3 linked regions of the Nothobranchius furzeri genome follow. The protein of the gene in region 2 purifies or fractionates together with the protein of the main gene of each other region. This does not show direct contact. Links are inferred from orthologs where the notes say so. Each region holds a gene or a part of one and is shown on either strand. Other genes may lie near its edges.

Evidence for each region.
Region 1: the proteins of mtmr4 (region 2) and dnajc10 purify together in Homo sapiens (affinity purification with mass spectrometry; 3 studies listed by BioGRID and IntAct, counting the BioPlex papers as one, with this or other methods). This does not show direct contact. The link is inferred for Nothobranchius furzeri from reciprocal best matches to the Homo sapiens genes MTMR4 and DNAJC10.
Region 3: the proteins of mtmr4 (region 2) and plk1 purify together in Homo sapiens (affinity purification with mass spectrometry; 3 studies listed by BioGRID, with this or other methods). This does not show direct contact. The link is inferred for Nothobranchius furzeri from reciprocal best matches to the Homo sapiens genes MTMR4 and PLK1.

What each region holds. Positions count from the first base shown.
Region 1 is NC_091754.1:38,658,768-38,669,395, reverse strand, and holds the start of dnajc10 (dnaJ homolog subfamily C member 10), read right to left. Parts: upstream 9,647-10,628; 5' UTR 9,544-9,646; intron 9,356-9,543; coding exon of another isoform or gene 9,343-9,355; exon of another isoform or gene 9,133-9,342; intron 7,543-9,132; 5' UTR 7,508-7,542; coding exon 7,319-7,507; intron 7,252-7,318; coding exon 7,089-7,251; intron 7,025-7,088; coding exon 6,974-7,024; intron 5,405-6,973; coding exon 5,322-5,404; intron 5,152-5,321; coding exon 5,020-5,151; intron 4,665-5,019; coding exon 4,571-4,664; intron 4,498-4,570; coding exon 4,420-4,497; intron 4,341-4,419; coding exon 4,297-4,340; intron 3,932-4,296; coding exon 3,866-3,931; intron 3,739-3,865; coding exon 3,673-3,738; intron 3,596-3,672; coding exon 3,506-3,595; intron 3,433-3,505; coding exon 3,322-3,432; intron 3,256-3,321; coding exon 3,141-3,255; intron 3,035-3,140; coding exon 2,907-3,034; intron 1-2,906. Other genes in the region: nucleoporin NUP35, read left to right, coding at 10,567-10,579. UniProt on the Homo sapiens protein: Endoplasmic reticulum disulfide reductase involved both in the correct folding of proteins and degradation of misfolded proteins.
Region 2 is NC_091750.1:66,577,611-66,588,238, forward strand, and holds part of mtmr4 (phosphatidylinositol-3,5-bisphosphate 3-phosphatase MTMR4), read left to right. Parts: intron 1-962; coding exon 963-1,079; intron 1,080-2,100; coding exon 2,101-2,130; intron 2,131-2,569; coding exon 2,570-2,652; intron 2,653-4,458; coding exon 4,459-4,625; intron 4,626-4,709; coding exon 4,710-4,806; intron 4,807-6,708; coding exon 6,709-6,822; intron 6,823-6,904; coding exon 6,905-7,095; intron 7,096-10,628. UniProt on the Homo sapiens protein: Lipid phosphatase that specifically dephosphorylates the D-3 position of phosphatidylinositol 3-phosphate and phosphatidylinositol 3,5-bisphosphate, generating phosphatidylinositol and phosphatidylinositol 5-phosphate.
Region 3 is NC_091744.1:8,883,160-8,894,567, reverse strand, and holds plk1 (serine/threonine-protein kinase PLK1), read right to left. Parts: upstream 6,646-11,408; 5' UTR 6,466-6,645; coding exon 6,112-6,465; intron 5,797-6,111; coding exon 5,628-5,796; intron 5,518-5,627; coding exon 5,373-5,517; intron 5,299-5,372; coding exon 5,205-5,298; intron 5,124-5,204; coding exon 4,901-5,123; intron 4,777-4,900; coding exon 4,734-4,776; intron 4,621-4,733; coding exon 4,523-4,620; intron 4,391-4,522; coding exon 4,313-4,390; intron 3,688-4,312; coding exon 3,533-3,687; intron 3,447-3,532; coding exon 3,264-3,446; intron 3,183-3,263; coding exon 2,988-3,182; 3' UTR 2,402-2,987; downstream 1-2,401. UniProt on the Homo sapiens protein: Serine/threonine-protein kinase that performs several important functions throughout M phase of the cell cycle, including the regulation of centrosome maturation and spindle assembly, the removal of cohesins from chromosome arms, the inactivation of anaphase-promoting complex/cyclosome (APC/C) inhibitors, and the regulation of mitotic exit and cytokinesis.

The sequences.
Region 1 (10,628 bases), on a different chromosome or scaffold from region 2:
TGCAGCATGATAACACATGGCCCCATACTGCAAGGATTTGTACACAATTCCTGGAAGCTGAAAACATCCCAGTAGGGCCGAAACGATTCCTCGAGTACCTCGAATAATTCAAGTACAAAAAAGCCTTGAGTCAAATTCTCTGCCTCGAGGCTTTGTTTAATTCATGTTTAATTAATTCATGGCTTTGTAATCGCCCGGGGTCATGTTTCACCCAGACCGAAATAAGTGACGCACATACACACTGCACTGAATGCACACGCGAGTAGCGAATGTACTTAACTTTCTCTTAAGCCATGGCGGACAACGTGGACCCCGTTGGAGTGCGAAAGACAGAAAATGTCAAAGGCGTGGGGCCATTTTTCACGTCGTAAGGCGGAAAACGTAGTCCAGTGTAAATACTGTAAAATGAATTTAGCCTACCACAACACCACATCCTCGGTGCTGCAGCACCTGACCAGGAAACATTCACATGTAAATGTCACTTCTGCAAGTGGGCTCGGAGCCTCTACAAGATAATGCATTTTAGCCTGTATTTCTATATATTCTGCGGACACTGTGCAACTTTTTCATTTGTAGCGGTTTCAGCTCACACCGTACATCTGGTAGCAACACGTCGGACTTAAAATGTGCTAAAAATAGCAGTTTTTACAACACGTCAGACTTTTTATTGTGTTGTTATTGATGTCTGTTGTCCCTCGGGACTGCTGCAGGAGGACACATGTATTTATGAGGAAAACGAAAGAAAGTAAATAAATGTTTTATGATCAGTATAACTTGACATAATCACGGCAAACATGCTTTCTCGGCGATCCTTGTTATTATGAGAAAAAAAAGTGCAGAAATTAAAACGATCGTATGTTAGGGAAACAGCTGGCGAGCCATGTTTGCGCATGCGCCGTGAGCGGTTCTGGTGCTGTTTGGACCGCAGCCGCTCGCATTTGTTTACAGTGAAGCCGTTCTGGCTGCTCTCGTGACTGCCTGTACCTGTTTTGTCTACATGTGTGTGTTTAACCTTGGTCAGGTTGTGTTGCGGAGTCAAGTTCCTATGCTCTGGGTCGCTGGAGCACTGGCAATAAAGCTTATTCTGATTCTGAAGTAAAGTTGAAGTGCTGAAGTTTTGAAAACTAATTTTGAATAAAACTTGAAGAATAACTGGCAATTGCGTGCTCATTTTAAGAGGTCTTTCATATTTTATAACATGCTATTTGATATAATGGATTACAAACACAAAAGGGTAATTTATTAGAGTACTCGATTACAAAAATATTCAATAGCTGCAGCCCTACATCCCAGTTCTTGCATGGCCAGCATCCTCACCAGACATGTCACCTATTGAGCATGTTTGCGATGCTCTGGATTGGCGTATACAACAGCGTGTTCCAGTTCCTGCCAATATTCAGCAACTTCTCACAGCTATTGAAGTGGAGAGGACCAACGTTCCACAGGCCTCAATCAACAACCTGATCAACTCTATAGAGACGGAGATGTGTTGCTTCGATAAAATTTAACACCATACAACTGTTTGTATTTAAATATTGTGGTGTTGGCTTCCGCTCTGATGGGTCGAATGATGGCTGCCTAAAGCAAACGCTCCCGACTTCATTACTCGTTTTCTCAACCTATCTAACTTGAAACCTAAAAAACACAAACTGAAAGTGTTGGGTATTATTTTTTGGAACAAAAATGCACAGGAAATTCAAGAAAATCGGTTTAAGAGAACGCAGTGAAGTGGAAGAAGATGCTTCGTCACAAGCTAGCAGTAACATGGAGGATGAGCAGCAACCTGGAGCTAATGCTAACGTGAAAGACCACCCCACTACCATGGATATGATACTGAAAGAGTTGCGTGATCTTAGAAAATACACAAATGAGCAGTTTAACGCCATAAGAGAGAAAGTGAACAATGTTGGAAAGCGACTCGATGAAGCAGAGGGTCGCATAGACGGAGTGGAGACTCGAATCCAGTCCTCGGAGGAGCCGCTAATGGAATTAGCAAAACTTCAGATGCGATATGAAACAAAGCTGCTGGACCTGGAGGGCTGCTCACGGCGTGAAGGAAAGGGAAGAGGACACATTCCCATCTGTTGAAAAATGTATAGAAACTCTGTTTGAAAAAATATTGGATCAATCTTCTCCAGCACTAGGGATTGAAAGAGCGCATAGTGCTATCGCCGAGAAACCCTCTGTTGGGGCCCCAACACGCTCATTTGTTTTCAAATTGGCAAGTTATCGTACCAAAGAGGATATACTCAGGAAGGCTTGGCGCGCAAAGGGGGTTGACTTCCAAGGCACCAGGATACATCTAGACAATGATGATGCCCCAGAGATGCAACGAAGAAGAGAATATGCAGCAGCAAAGAAGGTGCTCAAGGAGAATAATATTCACTTCCAATCACCTTTCCCGGCCACATTGTTTGTGATTGCTTACAGAGTAGTGAGGACACGGAGTGTTTTCCCAGCAGTTCGTCTGACTACTATCATAAACTACTGCCAAGGGCAAAACGTCATCCTCTCTGGTGCTTTCACACTGCACAAACGTTACATAAATGTATAAAATTTAGCTTACCTCGACTTTTGTAAAGTGTCTGGTGCCACCCGACAGCATGTGTCATTTGTTTTACAAACTTCCGCGTAACGGACTCCGTAGTTTTCAAAAAGTTTATTTTTAAGTAAATTGTGGCGTGTTTTCCCAAATACTGCTGCAGTCCGAGCAAGGCAGTTTCTTTAAAATATTCCATTTTAGTAGCCATTAGCAGAGCACTGTGCGTTGTTGTGTGCGTCAGCGCCAGAAAATCAACGTTTATCGTCCAGTAGCACGAAAGTCAACAACAAAGGTTCCACCTTACTTGAACTGCAAGCTCTCACTAAACCTCCTGAGAAGAGGTGACCCTGCCAGGACTACAAACCGGAGCAAAGAAGTCCACCAGCCATGGCTCCTTCCTATCTGAGGGGAAGATGTCCGGCCACAGCGTTGTCACATGGGCACGGATGCTGTCTCTGGCAAAGGCCACGATGTTGTATAACACGTGTTTACCTGCACACACACATGGGTTACACACAACACACACACGGGATACACACACACACAGGTGAGAGCGGAACCTGCACATGAACATACATGCAAGAAGAACTTTACTGACCATGGAAGATCTCAAAGTCCTGGATTCCAAGTCCCTTAAAGACCGCCACACATGGTTTATGAACATAGAGGGACTGACACAGCGCTGGGTCTGCTATGCAGTCCACCCTGCCAACCTGAGGGGACACACTGTTAGCTGGACGGGGACACCGGCCGGCAGAGACACAGACTGGGCCCAGTACCTGTACGTGGTCGTTCAGTAGAAAAGCTTGGAGCTTCTTGTACTCGTTAGAGGCGGAGCTTCTGCCACCAAAGGTGAAACTGACCACCCAGCGATGACGGGCCAGTTTGTCCTGTAAATGATGACGGTCACATGAGACCATCATCTGAACACGCGTGTGTAAATCCGCATCTGCGTTGTCCTACCTTGAAGCTGTCAGTGGTCAGCAGTTCCAGATCCGGTAGATGGTTCAGAACCAGGCTGTAGATTTCTTTGGTGTCCAGCGTCTTCAGCCACTGAAGCACAGCACCACCACATCAGTGCTGCAGGAATGTATGCGTAAGGGTACTTCAGTGTGTGCTCTGCCTCTTACCAGTATGCGGTCTTGCTGATCTAGAGCATTGTCCGGTGGGAACAAACCAGTAGCTCCACTGGTCACCTGCAACACACACATCCCCATAACCTGTAACTAGTGGACCACAGCTCTGATGAGGCATGTTGGGCGGTTATCCGTTCAGCTGGTGGACAGGACAGAAGTCTCTCCATCAACCTGAGGACAGTCTTACCTGGAAGCTTTCACAGAGCTGCTGCTGGTCGGTGCAGTCCATCCATCCCACCTTAACCAGACCGTCCTACACAATCCAGAAAGCAACAGTAGCACAAAGTATATGAACCAGTTCCACATCAGTGACAGGCCCTGGCAACAGCAGGAAGCTACCAGAGGAGCGCGCCATGAAACATCTCACCTCTGCTCTGAATGTAATGACTTCCTCCTCAGTAAAAGCTATTATTCAACAGATATGTTGAAATCTGTTACTGCTCATACCACTTCTAATCAGTCTGTTCTGTAAAGAAGTGTCTGTTTTCACTCAGAGTCCCACATGTTAGTAGTCTAGCTGATGCCCCACCAGGCTGCTGTGGGATCAGGCCTTTGGGGGCTTTCTGGCTCCAATATCAAACATTTGTGTCCTTTGGGGTCTTTCTACTTCATTCTCACCAACATTCCAGCAAGTTTCTGCCTTGTCCTGGGCTCCAGACAGTCTGAGGGACACAAACAGGAACGCTTGTCAGAAGTGTTCATGCAGACAGGAGCAGGTTCAGGTGGGGTGTCAGGAGTTACCTCCGGTGTCGAAGCAGAAGGTGATCAGCCAGCTGAGACTGGATGCAAAAGCAGCCTCCAACTCCCTGAACACGTTACCTACAAAAGGTATGGCACCACAGGTGAGACAGCCGAGCCTAATCCTCACACACACACTCACACACACACACACCCTGCCACAGCTGGGTCACACCGGTGGTGATGAACTGCATAGAGAAGCGGACCAGGTCCTCTTTGGTTCTCTCCATGGTGAACTTCTCAGGAGTCTGCAGAAACACAGAGAAGATGCCGTAGAGCCACACCAGCAGGAACATCAGCAGTGCTGCAAATCCCAAACAAAGGGTGGCAGACGGCAGTGGGACACGGCATCTGGGGTTGGATCGGGACCAGGAGACACGTCATCAGTGGATGTATCTGTGGACGAGCTGCCTCTGTCCCTAGTGAGAGGACATTTCCCACAGACGCTGTAACTACCCACAGGTCTGTCCTTTCAGCAGACAATGTGGACAAATAAATGAAGGGTGGATGGAGGAGGAGGCGACTAACCCTCCAACTGTCCCTGCTTTCGGTAACTTATTTCTGTCCTCTGGGCCGCGCTCCAGGGCGGTCCAGAGGACATACCTGTCCTGCTCTGTAGATGTACAGGCTGGGGTAGCTGCTGATGCCCCTCCTCCTGCAGAGGTAGTTGTTGTCTCCACAGTTCACTGCTCCGATCCGGATCACTCCATCCATCTCTTTGGCAAACTCCCTCCACTGGGTCACAAACAATCGAGAAAGACAAGAAAACATGAGCGTCACCTCACACAGACAGAAGCCTTCATGTTTACAAACTGAAGATTTGGACTTTGTTAAGTTCATGCAACGCGTTTGCTTCCACCAGACGTCAGCTGGACCGGGTGGTGTTCATGTTTGAGCTTCAGTACCGTTGGAGCCAGCTGGTGGCAGTGTGAGCATCGTGGGAAATAAAAGTTGATGAACCAGATCTCTCCAGAGTTTACAGCAGCGTCTGAAACACACACAGGTCTCATGCTTTGTTTTTAACCATCACGGGTGACACTGACAAAAAACTAGAATCTGGTGCAAAGGTCCATCTGTCAGTACTCCAGCTCAGACTGCGAGACCATCTAAAGGCCCAGGAACCCTCTGCAGGTGTTCTGGATTCATTAGTCAATCTGTGACTAGAATATTGAATCTTTTCACAATATTCTGACCGTCTGAGGTTTTGAATGTGGGGCTTTCATCAGCTGTACACCATGATCATCACAGTTAGAACAAATAACAGCTGATAAATCACTGCCTGGCCAAAAAAGTCTCCACCTGGGTTTAACTAAGCAAACAGGTAGGGACCTCCTATTGGATAATTACTGCATAGGTGATTATCTCTCTGCTGGAACAAGTTATTTAACCCAACTGGTGCACTGAGCTAGCCCAGAGAACAAGACCAAATTCTTGCTTTGCTAACTTTGGTCTAGGAACGATCCGCTGGAACCTCCGCAGCCTCTAGCGGCATTCTGGCTGTCCAATCACAGCTGTCTAGAGGGGTCTCAACACATAGAGAGCTGTAATTGGTGCATAATGGTGGGCCAATCACAGCTCTTCATCCGCTTTGTGGGCCAATCAGGGCCCTTTATTCATCTGGAGGGCGGGATGATGCAACAGAGTGGGACAAGATGGTGGCAGCTCGTTGGAAACAGCTTTACATCAATGTTGGACTTGGTTTCTATTAGAACCAGGAGCAGATAGATGTATAAGATAAAAGGATGTGTTTTCAACTTCTTCAACTGCGGACCGCCTCGTTTATAGACATCCGTTGCAGTTGTCCACTAGCATGTGGAGACTGAGTGAAAGACAATGTTAGAACCCACCTCACGATGGGGGGGGGGGGGGGGGGTGAAGGTGCATCAGGGTAAGAAGAGAGGCAGATGAAGTGATGCACCCATCATGCCTAGTGCCTACTGTACAAGCCTGTGGGGGCAATGTTATGATCTGGGCTTGCTGCAGGTGGTCAGGTCTAGGTTCAGCAACAGGATGTGCTCTAAGAATGAGGTCAGCTGACTACCTGAACATCCTGAATGACCAGGTTATTCCATCTTCCCTGATGGCACGGCCATATTCCAAGATGACAATGCCAGGATTCATCAGGCTCAGATAGTGAAAGAGTGGTTCAGGGAGCATGAGACGTCATTCTCACACATGGATTGGCCACCACAGAGTCCAGACCTTAACCCCATTGAGAACCTTTGGGATGTGCTGGAGAAGGCTTTGTACAGCGGTCAGACTCCACCGTCATCAGTGGTGATCATGGTAAGACGTTAGCGCAACACTGATGGAGACAAGTCTGGTGACGCCACAGAGAATGTGTGTCGTAATCAAAGCTAAAGGCGGTCCAGCAGAATGTGTGTGACCTCTTTATTGGTGGTGTGTTTGGGCCGGGTGCTGTATTTGGTTTAACATGGAATGAGTGTCTCAGACGTTAGTTTCGCCTTTTAGGTTGAATTACTGACATAAATGAACTTTGCACCATAATTCTCTTCTTTCAGTCTCTCTGACGCTAAAACATGAATCCAGATCTTACCGAAGTCTCCGCTATCCAAAGTGATGATCTCCAGATCGTCGTCGTAAATTCCTGTAAACAGAGCACGTTAAACACCTACGTCCTGGTTGCAGAGCAGATGCTGGTAGCGTCCTACCAAAGTCATATCTGTAGTAGTTCCAGCTCTCGTAACGTCCTCCCTGCTGCTCGTCCAGTCCCTTTTCTCCATATTTATCATATTTCTTTCTCAGGTCCTCGTCTTTCAGAACCTCATAGGCCCGGTTTACTCTCAGGAACTTGTCGTGGGCCAACGGGTCGCCCTAGAACATGTATGTGTTTTAATCAGCAGAAAACATTTGTTGGGGTGAACATTTGAGAGTGACTGACTGGGTTTTTGTCGGGGTGCATGGTGAGCGCCAGCTTCTTGAACGCCTGTCGTATCTCTCTGGTGGTTGCCTCCTTGCTAACTCCCAGCAGGTCGTAGTAGTCTGAGCTGTCCGGCCTGCAGAGCACCGTTACCAGCAGGACGAGGAGCAGCAGCGCGGGCCCAACAGGCCTCACAACCCTGAATCCCATCTCCTGCTCTCCCAGAACAGTTAGAGAACCTGGAACTGGAGAAGAACTTGTATTTGTCAGTCACCACTGCTACAAAACGGTGATGATGAAAAGGAAAAAACCTTTTCTTTCCCATTTCATGACCTGACCAGCAAGAATTTTGATTCCAGTCTCAGTAAAAGTGTGTTCTCTAGACCTGACTGCGTTTGTTTCAGCAGTTTACCTTTGGACGCGCTTCCTCACATTACTGGCATACTGGTTCCATAAAGACCACGTGATGATTAGTCCTAGACCCGCTGTTCCAAAGCAGCCCGGGGATGGACTGAGGTCGAAGGTCAGACTGCCAAGATGGTTCAATTCAATTCAATTCAAGTTTATCTATATAGCGCCAAATCACGACAAGAGTCGTCTCAAGGCACTTCACATAATAAAAATTCCAATTCAGGTCAGTTCATTAAGCCAATCAGAAATAATGTTTCCTATATAAGGAACCCAGCAAATTGCATCAAGTCACTGACTGGTGCGTGTGCTGGGATGGGGGAGGGGTGTCATTTTCTCTCTCTCTCTCTCTCTCTCTCTCTCTCTCTCTCTCTCTCTCTCTCTCTCTCTCTCTCTCTCTCTCTCTCTCTCTCTCTCTCTCTCTCTCTCTCTCTCTCTCTCTCTCATATTATTTATATCCACCAATAATATTAATACTATTTATAGCATGGATTGAAAGGCTTTGAGCCAAAGACGATATCAGACATTTATATGAGTCGTGGAGGATGGCTGCTTATACTGAGCCAGGATCCTCTGGAGGTTTCTTCCTGTTAAAAGGGAGTTTTCCTCTCCACTGTCGCTGCATGCTTGCTTATGTATGCGGATTGCTGTAAAGACTCTGACACTAGTCAGTGACTCGATGCAACCTGCTGGGTTCCTTATTTAGGAAACATTTTACTGATTGGCTTAATGAACTGACCTGTATTAGAATATTTTATTATGTGAAGGTCCTTGAGACAACTCGTCGTGATTTGGCGCTTTATAAATAAACTTCAATTGAATTGAGTGAATAATAATGATGCTGCTGTAAAATTCCACCTCCAGTCCACACCCAGACACAATTATTCTCTCTTCTGTCTCATGAACAGCAGCTGGGATGTTTATGCCCACAACACACTCCTCTGGTTTTGACTTTTTCTTTCTTGTGTTTGCTCCTCATCTATATTTCTGTTTGGATGCCATCTCTTCCACACCTGACTTGGTTGATCAGGTGCTGCATGCCGTTAGTCATTGTGGGAACTTGAACAGCATCATACAGTGGATGGCTGGTATTTACTTGGACACGGACAGAGATGGGTTTTCAGAAATCTCAGAGGTTTTGACTAATAAATGACCGGTTAAACTACCGGTAGTCATCATACCCTGGAAAAAAGGCCCCGGTACTAAAGCACTGGGATGTAGACGTCACACAAGGTCCTCCTATAGAAAGAGAAAACTCCCCCCAAGGATAAAAGTGTTATCACCAGAGGGAGGGGCATCCTTTTTCTTTGATATTACTCATTTGTACATCTTTAATTAAATCAACTACTACATGTTGACTTTCTGAGCTGAATAAACAAATATGTTCTGGTCTGACTGAAGGACCAAAGAGATGTTACTTAGCTCACATTATACAACAGAAGCCCACGACTCATCAGGGGATGGAGAGGAGTACCCACAGTAGTTTCTGCTCGTTAAACAACAACAGACAGCTACAGCTTATAAACTGGACTCTCCCATATTCCAGTCAGAACTGACAAAGCTCCTCGGAGGACAAGAGAAACGTCTTCAAGAAACCAGAGGAGTCCAGCTGCCTTCATCTGAACGCTTGGATCACCATGACCTGGATGAGTGAGAATCTGCACCAGAACACCTCACACTGTTTGTTTTACGTCCTTAAACACATACAAAAGTATCCACTTGTGCTAAGCTAGCGGATCATTTAGCTCTGCAGCTTATACGGCTGACACAACTAAACTGATTATCCTCTAGAGTTCATCTTATTTGTATTCAATCGAACAAAACTGTAGTTCCGTCACCTTTCGTGCGTTTTAACTCCTACACGTCCGAGATCCGTATCAGCGTCCGGCTCTAGCCGGCAACAAGCTAAGCACAACACAGCAAATTGCATCCGGTTATTGGTTTTCAAAATAAAACTCAAACAGCCAAGTAGCTGGTAGATGTGCAAATTAAGCAAAGTCTAGAAACGCGGTTCGTAAAACTGAAACGACTCCGAGCTGGACTAGTGTCAGGAAACAGAGCTAAGTTATGTGATGAGCAAGAGCCTCTAGTCCTCTACGGGCTTGTATGAACCAGAAAGATGCTGCTGGCTTTTATTTTCACAACACACTGACACATTTCAAACTACTTCTGGTGTGTTGATGAGCTTTAAAATTCAGGGTGTAATTATATGACGTGTAGTTGAGCGTGTTCGACAAAGAAGTTACAAAACTAGTGAACTACTCCAAATTGTATGTAATTAATCTGGCATGCCAGGCTAACGAAGCGGGATTTTAATGAAAACGCATTATTTTTTTACCAAACATTTACACTTGAGCACATTCTGCCCAGCACTGTGCTGACATCAGCCAAAAAAGCAAAGGTTGAGAGATTGTTTTGGAGTGGTTCCCGCTTTTAATCCCTTTATTTATTCAGATGAAAACTAAAATTCTTTATAAACCACAAAAGTTTTTAATGTGTGAACATAACTTTTAGCTTAAATTTAGAACACAGATGCACAGCTTTCATGCTTGTGGAGTCTCTCGTCTTCAAAGCACGGCAAGAGAAGAGGATGCGAAGTGCGAACATCTTTCACGAAACGCACTTTTGGTGACGTCATCCACGAGCGCCGGAAGTTATTCGGTGTTTACTCGTTCAATCAGAGTTCATATACATGAGAGAATTTCCACAAACAGGTTCGTTCCAACCGAACGGATCATATCGCGTTTGTAGGTACGGTTTGCTGGCAGGCTAGCTGTGTGTGCGACAACCGCGAGAAGTAAGAGCAGGAGTAGGATCGTCAGCGGTCGTCACTTCCTTCTTTTGAAAATCGCGGCATCAGAATGGAGTCACAAGGTAGATAAAAGTTTTCTACAAAGTTCTGGTGTTGTTTTCTTACTATCGG
Region 2 (10,628 bases):
AGTTCTGAGAGGCCATTTGTGGTTCTCGGTGACGCCCAGCATTTTAATCAGTCAGAACAAAAAATAAAAAAGCTGTGTAGTGACATTTGCCTTGAAGGTAAGTGAGAAGCTGAAGACGGAGAAGTCAAAAGCTTCACTTTATCTCCACTAACAAAAACTTTAGAAGTTGGCAGACTTAACCGTTTCTCATTTACTCACTGTGCTTTAAAGGTAATTCTTCACTTCGAGTTTAAATATAAAAAATAAAATAAATATCGACCTCCCTTGGAAACCAATTACATTAATGCAGGGGTCTTGCTGCAGCCAAGACCAGAAACTTGGCTGTGACTGTAATTAAATGGCTACAATAAGATTGTTAATGGAAAGTCGTGAGATCCCTCCCTCAGTCCTGTCTCTTCATCCAGCCACCAGTGATGACTGTAAAACCTCTGGATTCTTCTAACTGGCCGACTAAACATGGACGCTGGCATTAATGTGACTTGTAGTGATTGATGTGTCGTTTTCCTTAAAAGATGTGCAGCAGCACTAATTGTATATGCATTTGTGAGTGATCATAAAGAAGTGTAGTAAACAAAGAGATCTGCGGAGATGTTTTCAGTGACCCCCTTCCTAAAAATGGGACTAGAGTGAGTTGGTGTCTACTTGGAGATGGATGAAAAATGTGCAGTGTCGGCTGAAATGGTGCTAAATTCTTACGCACCTCATTTTTGCAACAAGCTCTCTCTGTGGCTGGGTACATCAGTCAAGATTTGTTTTTCTGTCGAGCAAATTTACTTTACGTAATTATGGATCCGGTTTTCTTTTTTCCGTTTACCTTCATGTTTTTTGTTTTCAATCAGCTCTCCATTTCCTCCTAAAATGTTCTTATTTTCCACACTTGCTTAAGTGTCTGAATCCCATTAGAAAATTGTGGAGCAACTTTTCCAATAATCCAACCTTAACAGATTTTTGTCTCTCCACAGGTGCCATTCCCAGTTCTTCAGGGGGAGGGGGTGGAATATCTTGGCCGTGCAGATGAAGCCATCATTGCCATTTCCAATTACAGGCTCCACATCAAGTTCAAGGACTCTGTCGTCAACGTGAGTGCACGTTTCATGCTTTAAATTTACTGGAAAACAAACTTTTCTGTAGCTTTGGTTGAAATGGCACAAGTGTTTGAGTGGTTCCTGCTGCTGCCATGCCACGCCACTGCAGAGGCCAATCGGAGACGAGAGGAGGGGTTGTTAGTTGCCTCTCCTCTTTACTCTTTCCCTCATATCACTTTTGTAAACTCAAAACTTTGCTTATTAGGAAAACAAGCCTGTGAGAATTTTAGTCAAGATACTTATAAAAGTAGTTTTAGTCGCATTTCTTCATATTTGGGACTAAGGTATGTGCATCAGGCTTACACCACTGAAGTCACAGAGTCTCTGAAGGAGAGAGGCTTAATGTGAGATCCTAGCACCGAGCTCGGCCCCTGCTGGCGCTGAAGTCCACCTGCGCTCCTGCTGACGTCAGCCTTCACTCCAACACAAACAGGCATATTGTTTGCATTTAGTGGCAGTGAAATTCCTCCTTCTTCCCCAAAATCCTTTCACTTTTTCCTGTGGGATTTGGTTTTTGGAAAGAATGACAGGAATTTAAAAAGCAGAAGGAAAGAAATCCTGATCACCTGGATGTTTAAGTCTGAGTGGAGAAGAAGGGGAAGTAAGTCATCGGGTTTAAATGTCGTCGGCTCAGATTCCACATACAGCTGAGGGCTCCTGCCTTGACTTTAGCTGTAAAGATGCACTATGTATGAATGTCAGCAAGCCACAACCTCTCACCTACAACTCTCTACACAACTTGCCCCTTACTTCTAAGCTGTTTTCCTGCCCTTTGCCCTGTCTGTTTGTCTTTCTCTCCGTGATTTCCATTTGCTTTGGGCATGAGTTGCAAGTATGTGTGATTCACGGTTATCTTTCATCCTGCACTCTTAGGTGTTTATTTTTCCCTTTTAACTCTTCATTTCCCTTTTTACGTCTTAATTTACTTTTAGGTTTAATTTTCTTTTCTCCATTTCCTCCTGTCATGTCCTCCCCCCCTTCTTTGTGTTGGCTCCATGGTATCATTGTGCTTTAGACCTACCCTGGTGTGGACAATGAGATTTCTGTGAGTACCCGGTGATTAAACATCACACTCTACCACAGTCCAGACGGCATTGTGCTTCAGCTCCTCTTCACTACATGGTTAACAAGCATGTCACTATTATTAAGCAGGAATGTGACAATGACTTAGTTTTCTGATTGTTGAACTGGGGTTACCCAGAGAAATGGCAATTATAAAGATGCTGCAAATGAATATGGGTCCAAAAGTGTGTCAGTCTTTGCAAAAACAAGAGAATGCATTAAATTTAGAGCTGTGATTTAGGCTCATAAGAGGCCAAGAGGGGTATTCTCCTTTCAAACTGTGTTTAAAGTCTCCCTTTGTGTAGCTAGTCGGGACGCAGACTGTGCTGTGCTGGACTGGAGGGTGATGGTCTCAGATGTGCTTTCTGCTGTGTCAGCAGATCATCATGCTGATTATGAATGCTCTCTGTCTCCCTCTACAGGTGCCGCTCAGACTGATAGAAAGTGTGGAAAGCAGGGATATGTTCCAGCTGCACATAATCTGCAAAGACTCGAAAGTTGTCAGGTGGGAAGAGGAGCTAGGTTTATTGATTTTGGTGTTTATTTTCATATACAGTGCAAAAATTCAATTTTCTTAAGTAATTTACCACAGTTCACCAAGCTTTACTTCTAAATATTTTATACAAGAATATCTTTAGAAACTCTTATTAGTTTTAATGTATGTATGTCGATGGTTTTAATTCAATATCTTGGCCCTGCGCAATAGCCCCGCCCCCTCCTGGGTGAAAATGATTCAGCTCCTGTTTGCTAATAAAAAGATGTTAAGTGTCAAAAAGTGTTGCCTTCATGACAAGTAGCTGATCAACAATATACAGATTTCTAAAAAAAAAAACTTTAGGAGGTATCTGCAGAACCTTTATTTTTACCTCTCCCAGTACAAAGTGGAGCCGAACAGAGAAAATCTGTGACAGCAGTGAAACCACGGTTACTGAAGTTCATTTCTGTTTGTTATACTCTTGTAAGGATCAATGCTTTCTATCAGTTGTCATTCTATCTCAGACTAAAAATAAACAAATCCGAGAAAGGCAGTGTGGTTCTGATGACTGATGGTTCTTTCCACCATCTAAAATAGTTCCAGTTGCAGCAAGTCTGTTATCCACAGAAACTCCCAGAAAGACCAAAGCTTTCAACCAAGACCAACGCTTCAGCTGAGCTTATTGCGTAGTTTTGATACTCGGAATAAGAATTTATTTTAGTATTTACTTTATCTTCTTGTTATTTACTGCAACATCACCATAAGACATTTCATTTGTGTCCCTTTTAGTTTCATAATTAATCAGATGCCAAAAGAAAATTGCAAGTTTCTCTGTACAGAATTAAAGGTGAATGGTTTTATTCATGTTTGACTGTGTAAAAATGAGAATTTCTGCTTTACTGTCACTGTAGAAATGGCATCTTGCATCCTACAACACTTCTACTCACCTTTCTCTCGCTGTCATGTTGTTTACTATTATAGTCTGTAAGTAACAAAGAATGCATGAATGCAACTTGCAGCAAACTGTTTTTGAGCTCATTAGAAGGCTTTACCTTGTTTGCAGGTTACAGTTTGGGCCATTAGATGTCGCTATAATAAACTTGACAAGTTTAAGTTCAGTGTAGTCGTTTTTATTGGTGTATTTTTTATTAGATTTCACTGTGACTCCTAATTTTTCCCAGAACATATGGAAGAAAATGTACATTAAACTAAAAAGGGTTTAAGGGAGAAATTAGTATAATTATCTGTAAAGTTGTATAAACAGTGGGGACTTTAGACAGTCTGAACAGCCAGTCCCATACTTCCTTATGGGAATGGGTCTGAGAACTCTTCTATTCAAATAACCTCACCACCTAAGAATTCCAACCGAGCCAATCAGTGCTGAGCAGCGTACACACACACACACACACACACACACACCGCAACGCTGGGTTTCTCATAAACAACGAAGACTGAAGCGGCGTTTACTGCGGCTCTTTCCTCTGTTCTAAATGACTTGAACATGTCTTTAAAACCACCACAACAAGAAGTACTAAAAATCGTTTTTCTAAAGAAAAATGTTTGCATCATTGCCAGACGCCATTTTTGACTACAGCTAAAAGAAAACTACAGTACAGTCAGCATATCCGCCTTTTTTTTTTGACTGGTTATTTTTGAGCTGGCTCGTCCCACCCCTCATGTGCCTCTCTGGCTCTTGAGTATCCAGACTAGTTATCTGTGTAGAAATAAACAGAGGACGAGTTTGGCTGGCCAGGCTAGACTTGAGATGCTTTTGGTGCTGTAGCTCTGCAGGTCTATGTTTATTATGGATGTCTTTAAATGTAATAATTTTTACAGATGCCACTTTGCAACATTCAAGCAGTGCCAGGAGTGGGTGAAGCGTCTGAACCGGGCTATAGCCCACCCGTCTCGGTTAGAGGACTTATTTGCCCTGGCCTATCATGCGTGGTGTCTTGGAGGCAATGTAGATGACGAAGACCAGCATGTTCATCTGTGTCGCCCAGGTTTGCATCCCACAACACGATGATGTTGAGCTACCTGTTTTTATTTTATTTTTTTAATAAACCAATTGTTTTCTGTCCGAGCAGGCGATCACGTGCGCTACAGAATGGAAATGGAGGTCAGGAGAATGGGCTTCGACACACAAAATGTCTGGAGGGTGTCTGACATCAACTGCAACTACAAGTATGTCACATTAACAGAGTAATGGTATAAAGTACTTAAGCTGCGCTGCCGCTAACAGTTGCAAAATGTCCTTTTGTGCTTTTTTTTTATTTTATTTTATTTTTTTGTGATAGATATGAAATTTTTGGGCCGCTGCTGACATAAATTCTTCTAAAATCAGCAGATTTTGTACAGAATGAAAATGATTAAAGCTGAATTTACATTATTATGTACACACAACACACACATTTATGGTTCTGCGATGATTCATTCACTGTTCACATGTCTAAACAATTACACCTCACCCTCTGAAACAGGCAAACAAATGGAGACAAGATATAAAAAATATCTGTTAATATCGGCCTGGCTTTATTTATCAAACCCATATCGATATGTTAAACAATGACTAACATCGGCCGATACAGATATTGATGCCGATATATTGTCCATCTCTTTTTTTTGTGTGTGTGTGATCTAAACTCTAAACACAGGAGATTGTGTGAAGAAAAGTTTGTGATTAATCATCGGTAGAATGTCCTTTCAGCTGAAGCTGTTTCACTCTTTATGAACACGTGTACTTGATCAGGTCAGGTGTTTAATCCTTGGTTATTTATCAGTAAGCAATTGCCTATTGTCAAAGACAATCTGAAAGTTCCTTCATTGTAGAGGTACATCCAAAGATTACTGTCTGAGAGTTTCTTTGTAATCCCTCCAGTGGTTCATGAGATTTGTGTTGACAAACGGAGATGACTCTAGCCGTTACAGGGGCTGTATCATGCTATTTTACACCTTCCAGAGCAATGGTAGGCACATCATATGATAAAATATTACCGTTGGTACTATTGAGTTGTAATTTTTGATGAAATATTAGTTATTTTCGAGATGCATTACTTCTACACAATATAGTACACAACTGCAGACCCAGAGACAACAGAATCATGCCATCATGTCCAACTCAGCCCCCCTCCCAACCAGCTTGCTAGGCAGGCGAGACGATTTGCAGCTTAGACAGAAAAATGCATGCATGAAGCCACAAACCACTTAGGGGGTGTTTTTCCTGAGGAAGTAACAATATAAAACAACCAACTGTGTTGAATAATTAGATTAAAAATAAAAACAATTATTATTATTAGTAGTAGTAGTAACCAGGGATGTGTATTGGTGAAATTCTGGCAATACGATACATATCATGATACAGGTGAGACGATACGATGTATCACGATATATTGCGATACATTCAGTCAGACGTTACAAGCATTTTTTTTTTTACTGAATTTTTTGTAAGAATGTTCAATAAACAGTCCAAACTGATACGTAACATGTTTAACATGAGGTATCTGAACCATGATGGAGGGTTTTACATTTCAATGGTGGAAACAAAACCCATTGCACACTGCTGCCAACTAGCGGGTGGCAATTGAATTGCACAAAACGAAAAGAAAATAAACAAATGTTTGCATGTTAGTTTTTTCAAGAATTAGATACACGGCTTTTGAATATCGATGTAATAATAGCAGGAAAAAATATCACGATATATTGCCATATCGATATTTTCTTACATCCCTAGTAGTAACACAACCGTTTCCAAAGACTAAGCATAAACAGATAATTCAGTCGGTGCATCGTGTCTCCTTTGTGATCCTGCAATAAAAAGGTCAGTCTTCCTGAAGATCACATCCTGCTGAGAGAGACGGACACACAGGACAACTGACTAATTACACAAACAGCCACCTGCTGAGGTCCATGACTCAGCTTAATGTTTTACTTTCCTCACACAGCCCGTCTCTCAGCAGGTGAATAGGAACTGAAGATGTATCATGGGAGAGTTACTGAGGAGATCAGAGACAGATGGAGTGGCAGTGATGCGGAGATTGGTTTTCTGTCAGAGCAGCATTAAAAATAAACTCTCACCTTCTCCACTAGGTTGTGTTCCAGCTACCCGCAGAAGCTTCTGGTTCCAATATGGATCACAGATAAGGAGCTGGAGAGTGTGGCTTCCTTCAGGTCCTGGAAGAGGATACCTGTGGTGGTCTACAGGTGCGGTTTCCAGACTCATGGTGGGCTGAGCATCAGCCTTTTGTAGTATGGATCTTAGAATTGAATCTAGCTTGTTTTTCAGGCACCAAAAGAATGGAGCCGTGATTGCTCGTTGCAGCCAGCCTGAGATCAGCTGGTGGGGCTGGAGAAACACAGATGATGAGTACCTGGTCACGTCCATAGCTAAGGCATGTCACATGGACACCGGAGCCAAAGGAACAACAGTCAACCGACAGCGAGGGGACGCCCCAGACCCTTCTGACAGTGATTTTGGTAAAGTTGCTGTTCTTAAGATATTGGTCAGACTCTGCATGAAAACTGTTGAAATTCAGTGTAACTACACTTTACCATATGCACCTCAAAAAAATATTCTGGTAAGATGTCGACTGAATATTAAAAATATATATGTATGGAGTTATATCAGTATATACACAGTGGTAATACTGGCAGCTCATTGTTTTATTGTTCTGGAGGTTATTGGATTATTTAGAGAGCCTAAGTTACGCCCGTCTACTTCCGGACCCTGGTTCCCCAGGAGAACAAAAAAGGAATGCAAGGGGCTGAAAGGCAATTTTCTAATTCCGCTTGTTATGTGCCATGGATTTCACATATGATGTTCGTGAATTTTAAAGACGCATGTTGATACCAAGAAAGCGCTTATTTTTGAACAGGGGGAAATGCCATTTTAGGTTAGGACTACAAATACGCTTCACAAAAGTGACATCATCAAACCAAACAGAGAGAAAAACAGAGGGAAAATGGCTGTGAGATCAGTGAACTTCAGATCCTTCCTTCAGGAGGAAAGAACCAACCACCAAGTAGCAGCTACGCTGGGGGAGAAGAGATTTAAACTTTTACAAGCTGATCAATCTCAAAGTATGTCACTGACGTGGTCAAAACACCCGTCATTACTTTTCATTTAAAGAGGTATAACATATGTGTGATCCAGAAAATAGCTCTTTTAGCCCCATTGACTTGCATTAATGTTTTTCTAGGGATGTCCCGATCAGGTTTTTTTTGCCCTCGAGTCCGAGTCATTTGATTTTGAGAATCTGTCGATACCGAGTCCCGATCCGATACTTTCGATACATAATAAAAAATAAAGAAACGGAAGAAACAGTTCCAGAATGTTCCTTATTTTTTATTTAATTACATTTTTATTTTAACAACAGATCACTTCTGTGAGGTAGCTTGAACAATCAAGTAACAAATAACATAAATTCTTCACTTTTGGTCTTTATTACAAATATAAAAAGTCTAACATAACAACAGATAGCACTTCAACTTAAAATACCTGGCAGGGGTCTATTTTGCCTCGGCCCCCAAAATGCTTAGATACGTCCCTGGGCATGGGTCGGAGTTTTGAAGATGATCTGAATCGTATCAACTATATAAATACTACATGCTGATAGATTATTGCTTTATATAGATACAAACGTGTAGTGGGATAAATCTACCTACATTTTATTTTGTTAAGAACTTTGTTTTGTTTTCTTGGTTTTTATTTTTCTATCTTCCTGTCCTGTCTGTCTCTGATCTTCCTGCATCTCCCAGTCCTCCAGAAAAACTCCTGCCTGCTTCCTTCTTTTTCACTTCACAAGTAACTTTTTAACTAGCCGATCAAGTTGATCTATTGACCGCAAAAAAAGCGGAGTGTGTTCTGCGCTGCCCGGCTGCGCCAGTGACGAGTGCTGCAGCGCGAGCGCGTCCACACGTCATGCTCAAATACAGACGGAACTTACCAGAGAGAAAATGAACGGACACGAACGACTGTGTGTTAATTATATATTTTTGGTGACGCCACTTAGAAACTTAGAAAATGTTACTGTGGCCGTGTGCAGAACGCAGCTGGAGTTCATGAATAATCAGCGGTCTGCCTGCTGCTCTGCTCAAAAGGATCCCCGCTACGCTGAGTCCATATAAATAATATAATAAAGGTAGAAACTGGATCTTTTCTGTGCTCCTTCTGGGTGTGTAAGTTAAGGGCATCAGGGGAGCCTGGCAACCTTTAAGGAGAACCAAGTTGCTCTCCTGTAATTTGAACCCAGCATCCAACTCCGGATCGGGGCTTGAATCGGGAAGTAAAGCCCAAGTCCCGATCAGTCTGAAACCACGTGTTCGGGGCAGATTTCCGATCATGTGATCGGATCGGGACATCCCTAATTTTTTCGTTCTTCTGGGGACCCCTGAGCCGACCAGAAAGAGAGGAGACTTAGGCTCCCTATTGGGACAGTATGATGGAGCTAAGACCTATAGTCATCTAAGAACTCATCAGCAGCAAGCTCCCGGTAGAAGCACTACGAGAAAATTTAACATTCAACAAAGTAAACAAATGGTACCAATTTCTGAAGATGTACAGAATTCCCCTTGGTGTCCATATTGACTTGCCGGCCTTCTGAGTCAGTCTCAAACACGTCTGCACCTCCAGCTGGTCGGAATTTGGTTAAACGTCTCATCGTTGTATCCAAAAGGGAAAAAAGTGACTGACTATCAGAGGTTTCAGAAGCTGCATCTGACTAATGTTTAATTGGCTGAACGTAGGACTTACGGAAGGTACGGTACCACGTTGACGCAGCAAATTTTGATTGGTCCAAACACTTCAGGGAAAATGTTTGTATTGCCAAAGGAAATGTAAAATTTAAAACAAAATATCAACTGATAAACTAAGACCTTCAGCAGCTCTTGGTTTTGATGTAACGGGCCAAATTAAAATAAAATAACTTTATTGAACAAGTGGCAAACATTTTGAATTAATGGATTTCTATATTTACATCAGAATTGTCAAATATACAGAAGAAATTCCACATTTATACAAATGGAAATGGATTCTAATTAAATAAATACATTTAAAAATTTTCACCTATAAGGACTCTTGTGCCTTTTGTGTAGTTTCACATAATTTACAAAATAAAGACAATATGATTTATTAACAAATTACAGCTATAAAAACATTTAGGCAATAAGAAACAAGAATTTATTAACAAAACTACTAAACTTTTTCAAAAATGTATGCGTGAAAGCCGGTTGGTGTGTCTATACTGTGACATCATTGGCAAGCGCAATGCCCTAAGCCAGTCTGGCAGCCCGAGCAGATCCGGTACCTACACCGCCACTGTTCCCGGCAGGATGTCATCAGCTGGTTTGGGCTCAGATCGGAAGCTATCTTTTATTTTGAGTGCTATTTAAAAACACGGGATTTTCTTCCAAATCCAGCTGTGAAAATTCAAAAACCTTTTTCAGCTGAGGTTTTAATACTGTTTTACACATCCCATTCTTACATGAAGACCTCGTGTCTGGAGTTTGTGCATCACGAGTAAATAATTAAAGCTTAATATATTGTCTCCATTTTTTAAATATAATGGTTTCTGATTTAATAATGAATTTAATTTACAGCGCCCTTTATAGCAGGAGATCTCAAAGGGCTACAGGCAAGCAAAAAACATGACTTTAAAACAAGCAGTTCAGGAATAAATAATAAAAGGTTAAAAACCACAGCCAAGTGCCAGTTTAATTCACTAACAAAATCCTACCCAACAGTCTTACGCAACATGTTTAAAGCATTACCAAATACATGTTCTGCTTTTCCCTCCTACTGGTTGAAAGCAGAATTACAGCTGTCATGAACCTGTCGTAGACCGTGCTAATGGGCCTACACTAACATGAACCACCTGATACTAAATAAGCCACAATAATATTACTTAAAAGTCCAGTAGCAACAAAGCCAGGTCACAATCAGTCTGTGATTTCATAGCCTTCTTCAGCTTCGAGTGAGTGTAGGCCACGCTAATGTTCACTCTGGTTTTATG
Region 3 (11,408 bases), on a different chromosome or scaffold from region 2:
ATTAAAAATGTCTATTAAACATAACTTGCTTTTTGTTTCCTTTCAAACAAGTATGAGTAAATAAATTGTGTTTTCTCTTAGAAAAGATCTTATGTAGGGAATTACACGGTGGCGCCCTTTTAAGGCAGTTTGTTAACGAAACAGTGTAAAAGTTCATTTTTTTCCTCTTAAAATTTAAGTTTAGGTTATCTGGGTAATTAAATCAACATTTATTTGCCGCATTTTTGGGATGAGTGTTTAATTTGGGCTGATTAGTGCCCTTCTGGTTCTGGATATATCCACTGAGGTTGGACACCAAAGATCAGAGAGGTGGGGCTCTCAACCACGTTCACAACCACAGAGTTTTGATAGACAACATGGATGTTAGCATGAAGGGACTGGGAGGTTTTCCTCCCCTTATCCGGGGTGCGGTCAGCAGCCTAAGCAGAGACCCAGACTTCCATCTTCCAGCCACTTGGGCCAGCTCCTCCAGAGGAGCTAAGCTAACCAATGTGAGCACATATACAAATGTCTACAATTTAGTCATTTTTGTCAAATTTACAAGGCAGAAACACATCCAGCACCATCATTTCAAACACGGGGGCCCCCCAGGGATGTGTGCTGAGCCCCCTCCTCTTCACTCTGCTGACCCACGACTGTACACCATTACACAGCTCTAACCTCTTCATCAAGTTTGCGGATGGCACAACAGTGGTGGGTCTTATAAACCACGGAGATGAGACCGACTACAGGAACGAGGTGAGCCGCCTTACCACATGGTGTGCTGACAACAACCTCTCTCTAAATGTGGAGAAGACCAAGGAGATTGTTGTGGACTTCAGGAGAGCACACACTCAGCATGCTCCTCTGACCATCAACGGTGCGTCTGGAGAGAGTGAGCAGCACCAAGTTCCTTGGTGTGCACATTACAGAGGACCTCCCCTGGACGAACAACACCATAGCATTGGCGAGGAAATCACAGCAGCGTCTCTTCTTCCTCCGCAAACTAAGAAGAGCAAGAGCACCAGCCCCCATCCTGTACACTTTCTACAGAGGCACCATCGAGAGCATCCTGTCGTGCGGCATCACTGTGTGGTATGGAGCCTGCAACGTATCCTGCTTTAAAACCCTCCAACGTATAGTGAGAGCAGCAGAGAAGATCATCAGGGTCTCTCTCCCCTCCCTACCAGACATTGCGGCTGATCCCACTCACCCAATGCAAAGCCTCTTCGAGCTGCTGCCGTCAGGGAGGAGACTGCAGAGTCTCAAGGCCAGGACCAACAGACTGAAGGACAGCTTTATCCATCAGGCAGTTAGGAAGCTAAACTCCCTCCCGGCTCTCCCAACTCTCCTCTCTCTTCCCCCACAGTCTCTCTGAACTTGGTTACTGTTTTTATACTAAATGTTTATTTTCTATCTAGCGAGAGTTTGAGAGTAACGTAATTTCATTTCTCTGTATGTCCTGTACATGTGGCAGAAGTGACAATTAAACTGACTTTGACTTTGAGTTAACTCAAGAGTTCCTCAGACAAAATAAAATTAATGTAAGTGAATGGGGCAGTAAAAGTTATCCTAGTCTGCTTTGCTCTACACCCAGAAGCACATTAGTTGTACTTGTAAATGGGTGCAATGCTTGCTAAACTCGTTTTTCTTCTCTTGTCTGGTTTGATGATAGCCTGGCAAGCTATCCTATATATGTGAATATATAAGGCAAGAATTTGGTGAGACAATCATTTGAAGTCCTCTGTCAGGGATAGTCAACTCCCTTCCCCAAGGGCCAGTATCCAGCAGGTTTTAGTTGTTTCCCTGCTTCAACACACCAGATATTAATCAACGGGTGATTTAACAGCTTCTCCAGAGTTTGATGAGCAGCTGAACAGGTGAATCAACTGTGTTTGTGTAGGGAAACAACTAAAACATGCTGGGCACCAGCCCTCAGGGAACAGAGTTCACTACCTAAGGGAGTTTTCCTCTCCACTGTCGCTTTATGCTTGCTTAGTATGAGGATTGCTGTAAAGTCACTGACACTAGTCAGTGACTTGATGCAATTTGCTGGGTTCCTTATATAGGAAACATTATTTCTGATTGGCTTAATGAACTGACCTGTATTGGAATGTTTATTATGCCTTGAGACAACTCTTGTCGTGATTTGGCGCTATATAAATAAAATTGAATTGAACTACCTCAGCTCTACGTGATTTCACACAAAGCCTGAATAACCTGTGCCGTAAACTGTCTTCACAATTCAGACATGATCAAGTTAAAGCTATGGCACATAAACAAGACCAGAAGATAACATAATGGCCCAGATTGTGTTTTTTTTACTGTAAGAGACCCGTGGACATGACTTTAGGCTTCCAATGGAGCTGAAATTAGCTCAGTATTTTGCACTTTGTTGACTTGAATAAACAAAATGCAAAGATTTGAGAGAATTAACAATTTTTTATTTTTACTTGGAAAAACAATCTTTATTTCATCTTGAGCAGAGGTTTACCCTCTTTAAAATACTCAGCAGTATGTACAAGTTTGTTCACCATCAACCCGCTTAGCCAACAGTTACAAACACAAACAAACAGGAAGAATGTACATGATGAAAACATTAACACGGTCAGTTTCCGCACACACAGACTGGAAAAGCAGACCAGTGCTTTATGAACAGCATGTTGAGAGTCCATCTCTCACAAGACGAACATCTTCCTGAATGATTTAAAACACAAGAACAACAACAGGAAAAAGGAAAGGTTTACAACCAAACGCCTCAACTTCTTAAATGATGCATTTCAACAGCTCTTTTCAAGCTACGTTATTAGTCTTGGTGTTGATAATTAAGCAGTCCATGAAAGGTGAACATAAGAGGAAAACATGTTGGCATATTAAAGTTTAGGTTGATGGAGCACATTGTGTAAGTGTGACATGAAAACCTCTGCTTCGCTTTAAAAAATACACGTAATATTAAAAGTTCTGCGACTAGAAGGGAAAGTGATTGAAGGTTTGAGGAACAAACTAGACTATTGTGCAGGAGAAGAAGCCTTGCTGTCCTGCAGCTTCTCCACCATCTGCTTGGCGTAACGTATGCGGCTAGCCAGCTCCTTACTGCAGCCGAACTCCTCCAGAAGAGACAGCTTGTAAGTGCGGAAGTCTCGCTTCTCGTCGATGTAGGTCACCGCCGACATGAGCGGACACAAGATCAGCTTGGTGTGATCCTGAAAAGCACATAATGATAGAAGATGAGGGATCGCGCACGTGAAGCATCACGCGTTGAGTGAAAGGGTTAACCATCTAACCTGGAAGAAGTTGATCTGAACTGTGCCGTTGCTGAGGTGCAGTACGATGGCGCTTTTCGTCCTAAACCACAAGGAGAGGTAAGGCAGCCGTGCCAGCTCATCTCCCTCCCGCCGCGCCATGTTGGCCCCAGCTTTCAGGAGGTGCTCGCTCATATAGTTACGGAAGTATTTCAGCAGCGTAATCTACAGCCAGAGAGAAATACAAGTCACTGTGATGGCCTTGAAGGGGATAAAATGGAATTAAAAAATAAATAAAAACACTGTCTGACCTTTTTGTTGAGAGTAGCGGGGAAAGAGCGAACGCTGAGGTAGGACTCAGCTGCAGTCTTATCGATGTACTGGAGGCTGTCTCCGTCAGCGTACATGATGAGCCGGGTGTAATCGTTGAACAGAACCCCCACGCTGTTGTCGCAGAGCTGGTAGCCTGGAACAGACATTAAAAACTCTGTAAAGATACTTTTAACAGTACCAGATAACATCTATACAGGGTATCTGCAGGTTTAAGGGAGCCAGATTTAAGACTTTTTAAGACCTTTTTTAAGGCCACTTTGACCAAATTTAAGCTTCTTTTTTTTTTAAATTAAATTTAAGCTATAATTTCCAGCTATTGCCTGGAACCGGTGCTAACCAGGTCGTGAACGTGGGATTAGCCATCCATTTACCATTAATGTTGCACTTCCCCATGGTGCAAACTCCCACTAGCATGCTCATCTAAAAATAGCCCCCTTTCACAACCAACCGAATGTGTACGGTTCCGCTTACGCCAATATCATACACAAAAAATGCCAAACTAACTAGAAATTCATGAAAATTTTATAGAAATAAAAGAATCTTGTTTATTGGGTCTTTGGTAATTTAAGACCGTTGGAAACTATTTAAGGACTATTTGTCATTTTTAAGGATTTTTAAGGCCTTAAATTTGGAAAAGCTAATTTAAGACTTTTTATGGACCTGCAGATACCCTGTATATACTTTTAATAGTCTAAACCAAACTTACAAAGTTAAAATTGCAGCTTATGTGAACAAACAAACGGTCTCCTAACATTTACCTAATCCATATTTATCAGAGTAGTCGACCCATTTGCTGATCCAGAAGATGGGGATGCACGCAGGATCCTCGGCCTCCTCTGGAATTACACAAAAAAACCTTAGATGTAGATTAAAAAGTAGATAACCGCATCCGTTTTGACAAAATTCAGAGAAATAGCAACAGAGACTCCACAAGATCGGTAAAGACGAAGTGAGACACGTCCACTAACCTTGCTGGATGACGGCCCTTTCAGAGGGTTTGGTGGACATGATGCTGTTCAGCTGCTGCAGCATGTCTTTCAGGTAGGGCTCTGATGGTTCAGCCGCCCTGCACACACACACATTTAAAGGTTAACAACATCTACGCAAAGAAAAGATAAAAACTAACAGAACTAGAATTTTTATAAAATGTTTGTCATGTGATAAATAAATGAAAAACACCTTTGCATAGGCTCGTCTTTCACCTCCGTTTTCTCCGTACCAACTGGGAACAAAGAAAAAAAAAACGTTAACATCTAAAACAAGACTAATAAAATCTATGTGGATCAACTCAAACATCATTGCCTAGGAAAAATAAAAACAAAGATTTTCATTTTGATCGCCATTACCCTTGTTTAGAGCAGTCAGAGGACGCCGCTGGCTGAGCTCTGCAGTTGTGGAGGGGGCGATGGAGAACCGAGGGGGTACAGTAAGACACGTGGTGGGCAGACGGAGGGGGATGTAGCCGGACGTAAAGAACTCATCGGCCTGCACTTCAGCAACGCTTGGCCTCTGTGCAGGATCGGCGTGCAGCATCTTCTTGATCAGAGTCGCCGCAGTCGGGGTGATGTGCTGCAGGTTGTTCAGATCATACGACTCAATTATTAACTTAATTTTAGAAAGAAAACGGTGCATTCAGTTTGATTTTCATACCCAGGGGATGGTGTAGTTGTTCTTCTTGATGCGACTGTAGGTGTCCTTCAAACAGGAGGTCTCAAACGGGGGCTTGCCCACCAACAGAGTGTACCTGAAAGAACAGAAAAGGGAAGCTTTCACAGCTGGGACATTTCAAATGAGTTGCGTTTGTGGGCCTGTACTTACAATATGCACCCAAGTGACCAGACATCGACCTCATAGCTGTGGCCCTTTTTACAAAGCACTTCTGGTGCTATGTAGTTGGGCGTTCCACACAAAGTCTTCTTTCGTTCGCCTTCAAACTCGATCTTAGTCGCCAAGCCAAAGTCCCCTAAACAAGAGAGAACACGTAATAACGAGGCATGCTTTGATTCAAATCCTTCTCGACGTGATAAAAACAAAAGATCTAGTGCAAGCTACAAGTCCAAGCAAGTGGAGTACCAATTTTGACATCCATGTCGTCGTTGAGGAAGATATTGCCCAGTTTCAGGTCTCTGTGGATGACCTTGTTGTTGTGCAGGTACTGGACACCCTTCAGCAGCTGGGCCATGTAGTAGCGAGCTTCAGGCTCCGTCACAGCCTTGCGGCGTTTGTGCAGCTCCAGCAAGGACTGAAATAAAGCATTTTAAACAGTCAAGACAACAGCTCAAGAAAAGAGTGATCTTTTATGCGTTTAATTATAAGATTGAACATATGGTACACATGGGGCCACCAGAGTGGTACTGGACCAATAAACCCACATTTATAGGCTAGAAGTTTCTTTTTAAGATGTTTTTATCAAAGATCAAATAGTTGTGAGGTGTTAAATGAGTCTGGTACTGCTTGCTTCCCACTATTTAAACATGAGGACAACGGAAGATGTCGCAGTGTTTAACCGTCGGCTCTAAACCTCACTGAAAAGCTGGTTTCCTTCCATCGTACTCACCCTTCTCCTGCAGATCTCCAGGACCACAAACACATGGTCATCGTCTTCGAAAAACCCGTGGAAGCCGACGATGTTAGCGTGATCCAGACTCTTGTGTATGGCGATTTCCGAGGTCATCTTATCCCTTTGGTGCTGCTTTTGTAACAAATACTTAGCTACGATCTTGCCAGCAAACACCGTCTTCGTCTCTACATCTGTGATCTCGTAGCATTTGGCGAAACCACCCTTCCCGAGGAATCTCCCCCTCGTGTATCTTTTCATGGTTCGGGAATCAACGAGAATTTCTGGGATTTCTTTGAGAGGTGCCGATTTGGGATCCGCACGTTCCAACGGCTTTGCGGTACCAGCACTCATTTTGTATTAGAGCTGTCTTCTATGAACTTACAGGAATGTTTATTTTCTCTCCGCGCAGTAAACGTGGTGAAAACTACAAGAATCAAACTACTAACCCTAACACAACCGACGTTACTTTAGCCTAGCTAGCTAACTTTCTCCCATACACGTCTGAATTTAAATCTAATCACGAGTTTAGACTTCCTGAAAGCAAGCGATAATTAACATTAGGTTCTACAATTATAAAACGACATATATAGACATAAATATTAAAATAAATCTGCTTTCCTCATGGAATAATTCAGCAGACGTGTCCGACGGCGGCGTCTCCTGTGTTCTGTTCTGCCCTTCGAAAACAGTTTCTAGTATTAAGTTAAATGCTCGCTCTGTCGCCACGGCGCTTTCTCATTGGTCCACTTGATTTGAATTCTACGCAAAGCATTGTGGGAAGAAAAATGCAAAACTAGCCAATCAACGGGGTTGAAATAAAGTTCTAACATCGTGATTGGCTCAATGACGTCTTGCGTTTCCTTAACGCAAAGGCTGATGGTAAATGTAGACTAGTGTTAGATTTTACTTGATTTTATCGTCATCCAGAATCCAAGAAGGATTTAATTTTAACATGTAATCATATTATTAAACTGGATAAAACAGTGAAACGACAGTGTGGTCAAAATAAAAACGAAAATTGAAATAAAATAAGACGAAATGCACAAACGTTTTGAGTAATAAAAGCATGTTTGCAAAAACGATATCGGCACAGAACTATTAAATTGTGTATTTCTACAGTTAAAAGGTAAATTGAGAAAATCATGATGTTGCAAAAAATTACATTATTGATAGTTTAATTCACTTTCACACATATTCCACTGGGTGGCAGCAGTGGACAAATTCACAATTATTGTTCCTTGAGAAAGCACTTTTTTCAGACCAATCACACAATAAGCACTTCATATGACACAGCACGGATTCACAGCTGTAAATAATGAGATCATAAATAGATTATTGTCATGATGGTCTAGAATTAACTTTATAAATGTCTAATCATTAAATAGGTAACATCATCTTAAAATAAAAATTTCAGTCCACAACACTTTTTCCAGGGAATCATTTTCTGTTGAAGCCTCCCATAGTTATTAAAACAAAAAGTAAGAGTGCACAGCTAGTGGCTGATTTGACTTTGTTATAAGGGGGGATGTTTAATATAGGGACTATTTACTATGCACACACTCTTTAAAATATGTGTGTTTTACAGTTTTTTGTTTTTTCACTTTGTGTGTTTGTTTATAAATGGTCTTCAGGCTTTAGTCCGACTGGTGGGTGATGTGTGGAGATTGCTGGCTTATATGTGTCTGTTCCATTTTTGCACATTCATCCTTCTCTTCTGCTGCCATGTGTTTCCATGGCAACACACAGAAGATGCTGTAGGGAAAACTAAATGAAGTAAGCTTGTCTGTGCTTGTATGGGTCAACATTTACACACATTTAGTTTATTACACAGGATTTTGCAGAGAGCTGAACGTCCTCTGCAGAGGGGCACAAAGAAAGTAGAGTAGGTTACCTCCCTCCATGTTTCATCTTCTTTTCTTCCACAGTTTTGGCTCACTGGAATCTCAAGGGTGCTGTGAGCTCTTTAATTTTTCACCTACATAAAGTAAAGCGTTAGCAAAACCAGGACAAAGGATGTTTTTTCCTAAATCAGAACAACATGCTTGCCACATTTAGAATACATATTTCAGCCAAAGATATGTAAATATAGAATAAAATTAATCAAAATGTCTGTCTTCAAAAGTGATGGTGAAATCTAAAAGTTATGTGGAGAATGCAAACTTTTAGTTTTCACTTTATAATAATGAATGACCTAAAAAGACTGTAGGGACTGTTTTAAATATTCAAATGATGCTAGCACTATGCATTTGTTTGTAATGTTTGCCAGGGACCAAGGACAGGAAAAATGATCTGTTGAAAAGAGAAATAGTGTATGATATTTGTATTCTAATCCGTGTTGGGATTAAAGATCCAATGTAACTAAATATGGTGTGATAATTTCCTCCAGCTTTTCATTTTATACTCATTGGGACCTTAAAGGATTAAAGTTTCATTTATTCACTATTAAGTAAATTGTAAAATAATCAGATTGTCTTATTAACTATCTATTTCTTTTTTTTTTTTACCTTTTTTTCTCCAGCTCAGGGAAATTATAAACAGACGTGTTTAATAATAATAATAATAATACATTTTATTTAAAAGCGCCTTTCAGAACACCCAAGGTCACTGGGTGCAACTTAAATACAAATATTGACATACTGCAACAGCTCTGTTCTTCAGCACTATTTTCCAGCATGCTATTTTCTTTCCAATAAAACTTTTATACTGTCAATGAAAATCAATACATTTACTTTTCTCATATTTCTATATAATCTTATCTTTATATACTTTTACTTTTAAATGTTGTTTTTCCTGTACCACAAAGATGAGAGAAAAACACTGTATTGATTCACCTGTATGTCCTGAACATATAAAAGACAATTTGATTCTATGCATGGCTTGCAGTACGTGGATAAAGGACATTGAAACACTGGTTACAAATTTGAAAAAGTTAAATGAAACATAAAGAAAATGTAATGAAATTGATTTGATTCTAAACCAAAGGGAAATAATTTCACTTTAAATCGTTATTCTTGCAAAAGAACCACAAGAATTCCTTTACATTCATTCAAAACGTAGCCATTTTAAAGGCGTGGGAAACTTGTTTAATCAATACATTTGCAGTGGTCTCTGGTATGAATGCCTTGCAAATGGGGCAAAAAAATCCCAGAATGGCTTGGATCAGCACAGACAAATCTGCTGCTGCAGAAAGTGGTAGCAGACAGCAGGATTTGGAGTCTTATTTCCTAATGTTGAGGGTCTGCCCTCATGAGGAAATTACTATGCAGTAATTTCTCCAAAAGACTGTGTCATCTGCGCTCTGAAAAAGCAGATATTAAAAATCAGCGCCAGCAACAACTTCATGTCCCATGAGCCTTTGCACCCGGAAGCAGCGTGATGACGTCACCAAAGCGGAGCCGAACCCCGGAACCCACAGCTTCCTCCCGCCGGACAGCCGAGTCTATAAAAGGGAGACAGAACGAAACTTATCTGTCTTTTGTTCCAGTTCAACTGGCATGAAGACGCACTCGTTTGCTGCGGCTCTGGACAGCATGTGCACGAGACCTAGCTGCTGAAGTGGATGGAACACCGAGCTACTGGAAGCAATGGAGAATGCCGATTGAACACTGAGGGACGCCTCGCTGTTCGTTCGTTCAAAGTTTTAACTCTCTCTCTTTCTCTTCCGCTTCTCTAACATAGTTCAGAACAAGCAATCAAACCGCGCGATTTGCTTTAAAGTAGCACCGGGCTCTACATCGTACCAAAAACGCCATCGGATCATCTTAAGAGTAAGCCGTTTTGCTTCTTTCATTGTAATATCTAAGGTTTTGAGCTGTGGCCACAGCATAAAATAAATATTTAGATATTTAATTTGCCTTTGAGTGATCTTTTGTTTTGTTTATTGATCTTTGTGAAGCGGTTTTGAAGTTTGTTAAGTTTTACTGTGCATGAAAGTTTGCTCACATCACTGTTGAAAGATGAACACACACACACACACACACATACATGTTTTAGTGTTGGTAGGGGACATGACTAAAACACACACTTATTGGGTCAGATTGTTTTACATTATCATTTCATTGTTTCATTGTTTGTGTTTGTTTGATAAAATAAGTTGGTTAATATTGATTGGCTAAACGCTTCAGAAGGAGCTGTAGTGATTGTATTAGTTAATAAATGTTTTGCCAATTCAGTTTTGTCTCAACTGAATTTGTTTGTGTGATATGAATTTATGACTGCTGCTCGTAAATGAATTTTACTAACTTTAAGACAGACTGATAAGAGGTTTTGGATTCATTGTTCCCCTGTTAAAGCGGTGGTGCCCCGAGGATATCTCCGGATATCCTAATTACGTAATAAAATCGGTAACTATTTCCATATTTACGAATTTTATTGAAGAATCCAAAAAGTAAGTAAAAGCCTACAAATTATTCGTTGACTAATAATCACAACACTGATATTTGGACATTTTGCCTCTGGTTGGTTAACATAAAGTGACTCTAGCACTTACTGCATTTGCAACGTGGATGTTTTATCTCCACAAGGACACAAGCCTAGAGGAGTTCTGCTGTGTGGTGGAGTTGCTAATGCTAACAGTTAGCTTTCGGGATGTTGTCTGCTGATTCCTGGACGTTAAACCAACAACAGCCTTCCCCTGTCACGAGTCAATATGGGCGAGTCCATGAACATTAAGTGAAAGTGTGACGTAGATGTGTCAGGATTTTCAAATCCTAGAGTTTCACCGTCTGCTTTCTCTCAGAAGCTAATTCAATTCAATTCAATTCAAAAATACTTTATTGATCCCAGAGGGAAATTGATTGCTGTAGTAGCTCATAATAATAATAATAATAATAATAATAATAATAATAATAATAAAGTCGTCAAAGAGTTATTGTATATTACAATGGCTGTTGGCAGGAAGGATCTCCAGTAGCGGTCAGTGTTGCAGCGAAATTGAAGACTCTGACTGAAGACACTCTTCCGTTGTCAGACAGTCTTGTGAAGAGAATGCTCAGGGTTGTCCATAATTTTCTTGATTCTCTGGAGAATCCTTCTTTGCATTATCTCCTCCAGTTGTTCCACAGTCATCCCCAAAACAGAAACAGCCTTTTTTATTAGGCTGTTGAGCCTTTTCAGGTCCCTGCTTCTGATGCTGACAGCACCTGATTTATCATTGCCCATTATGATCGATGGAAGAGATGGTTTGAATTTCCGCTTTCTCTGTCTCCGTTTTGCTCCCGCTCTGCACCCACGCTTCTTGCGTTTTAGCTCATTTGGGATTTGTGGCTTCAGTTGAGGTATTATTTCAACCTTTC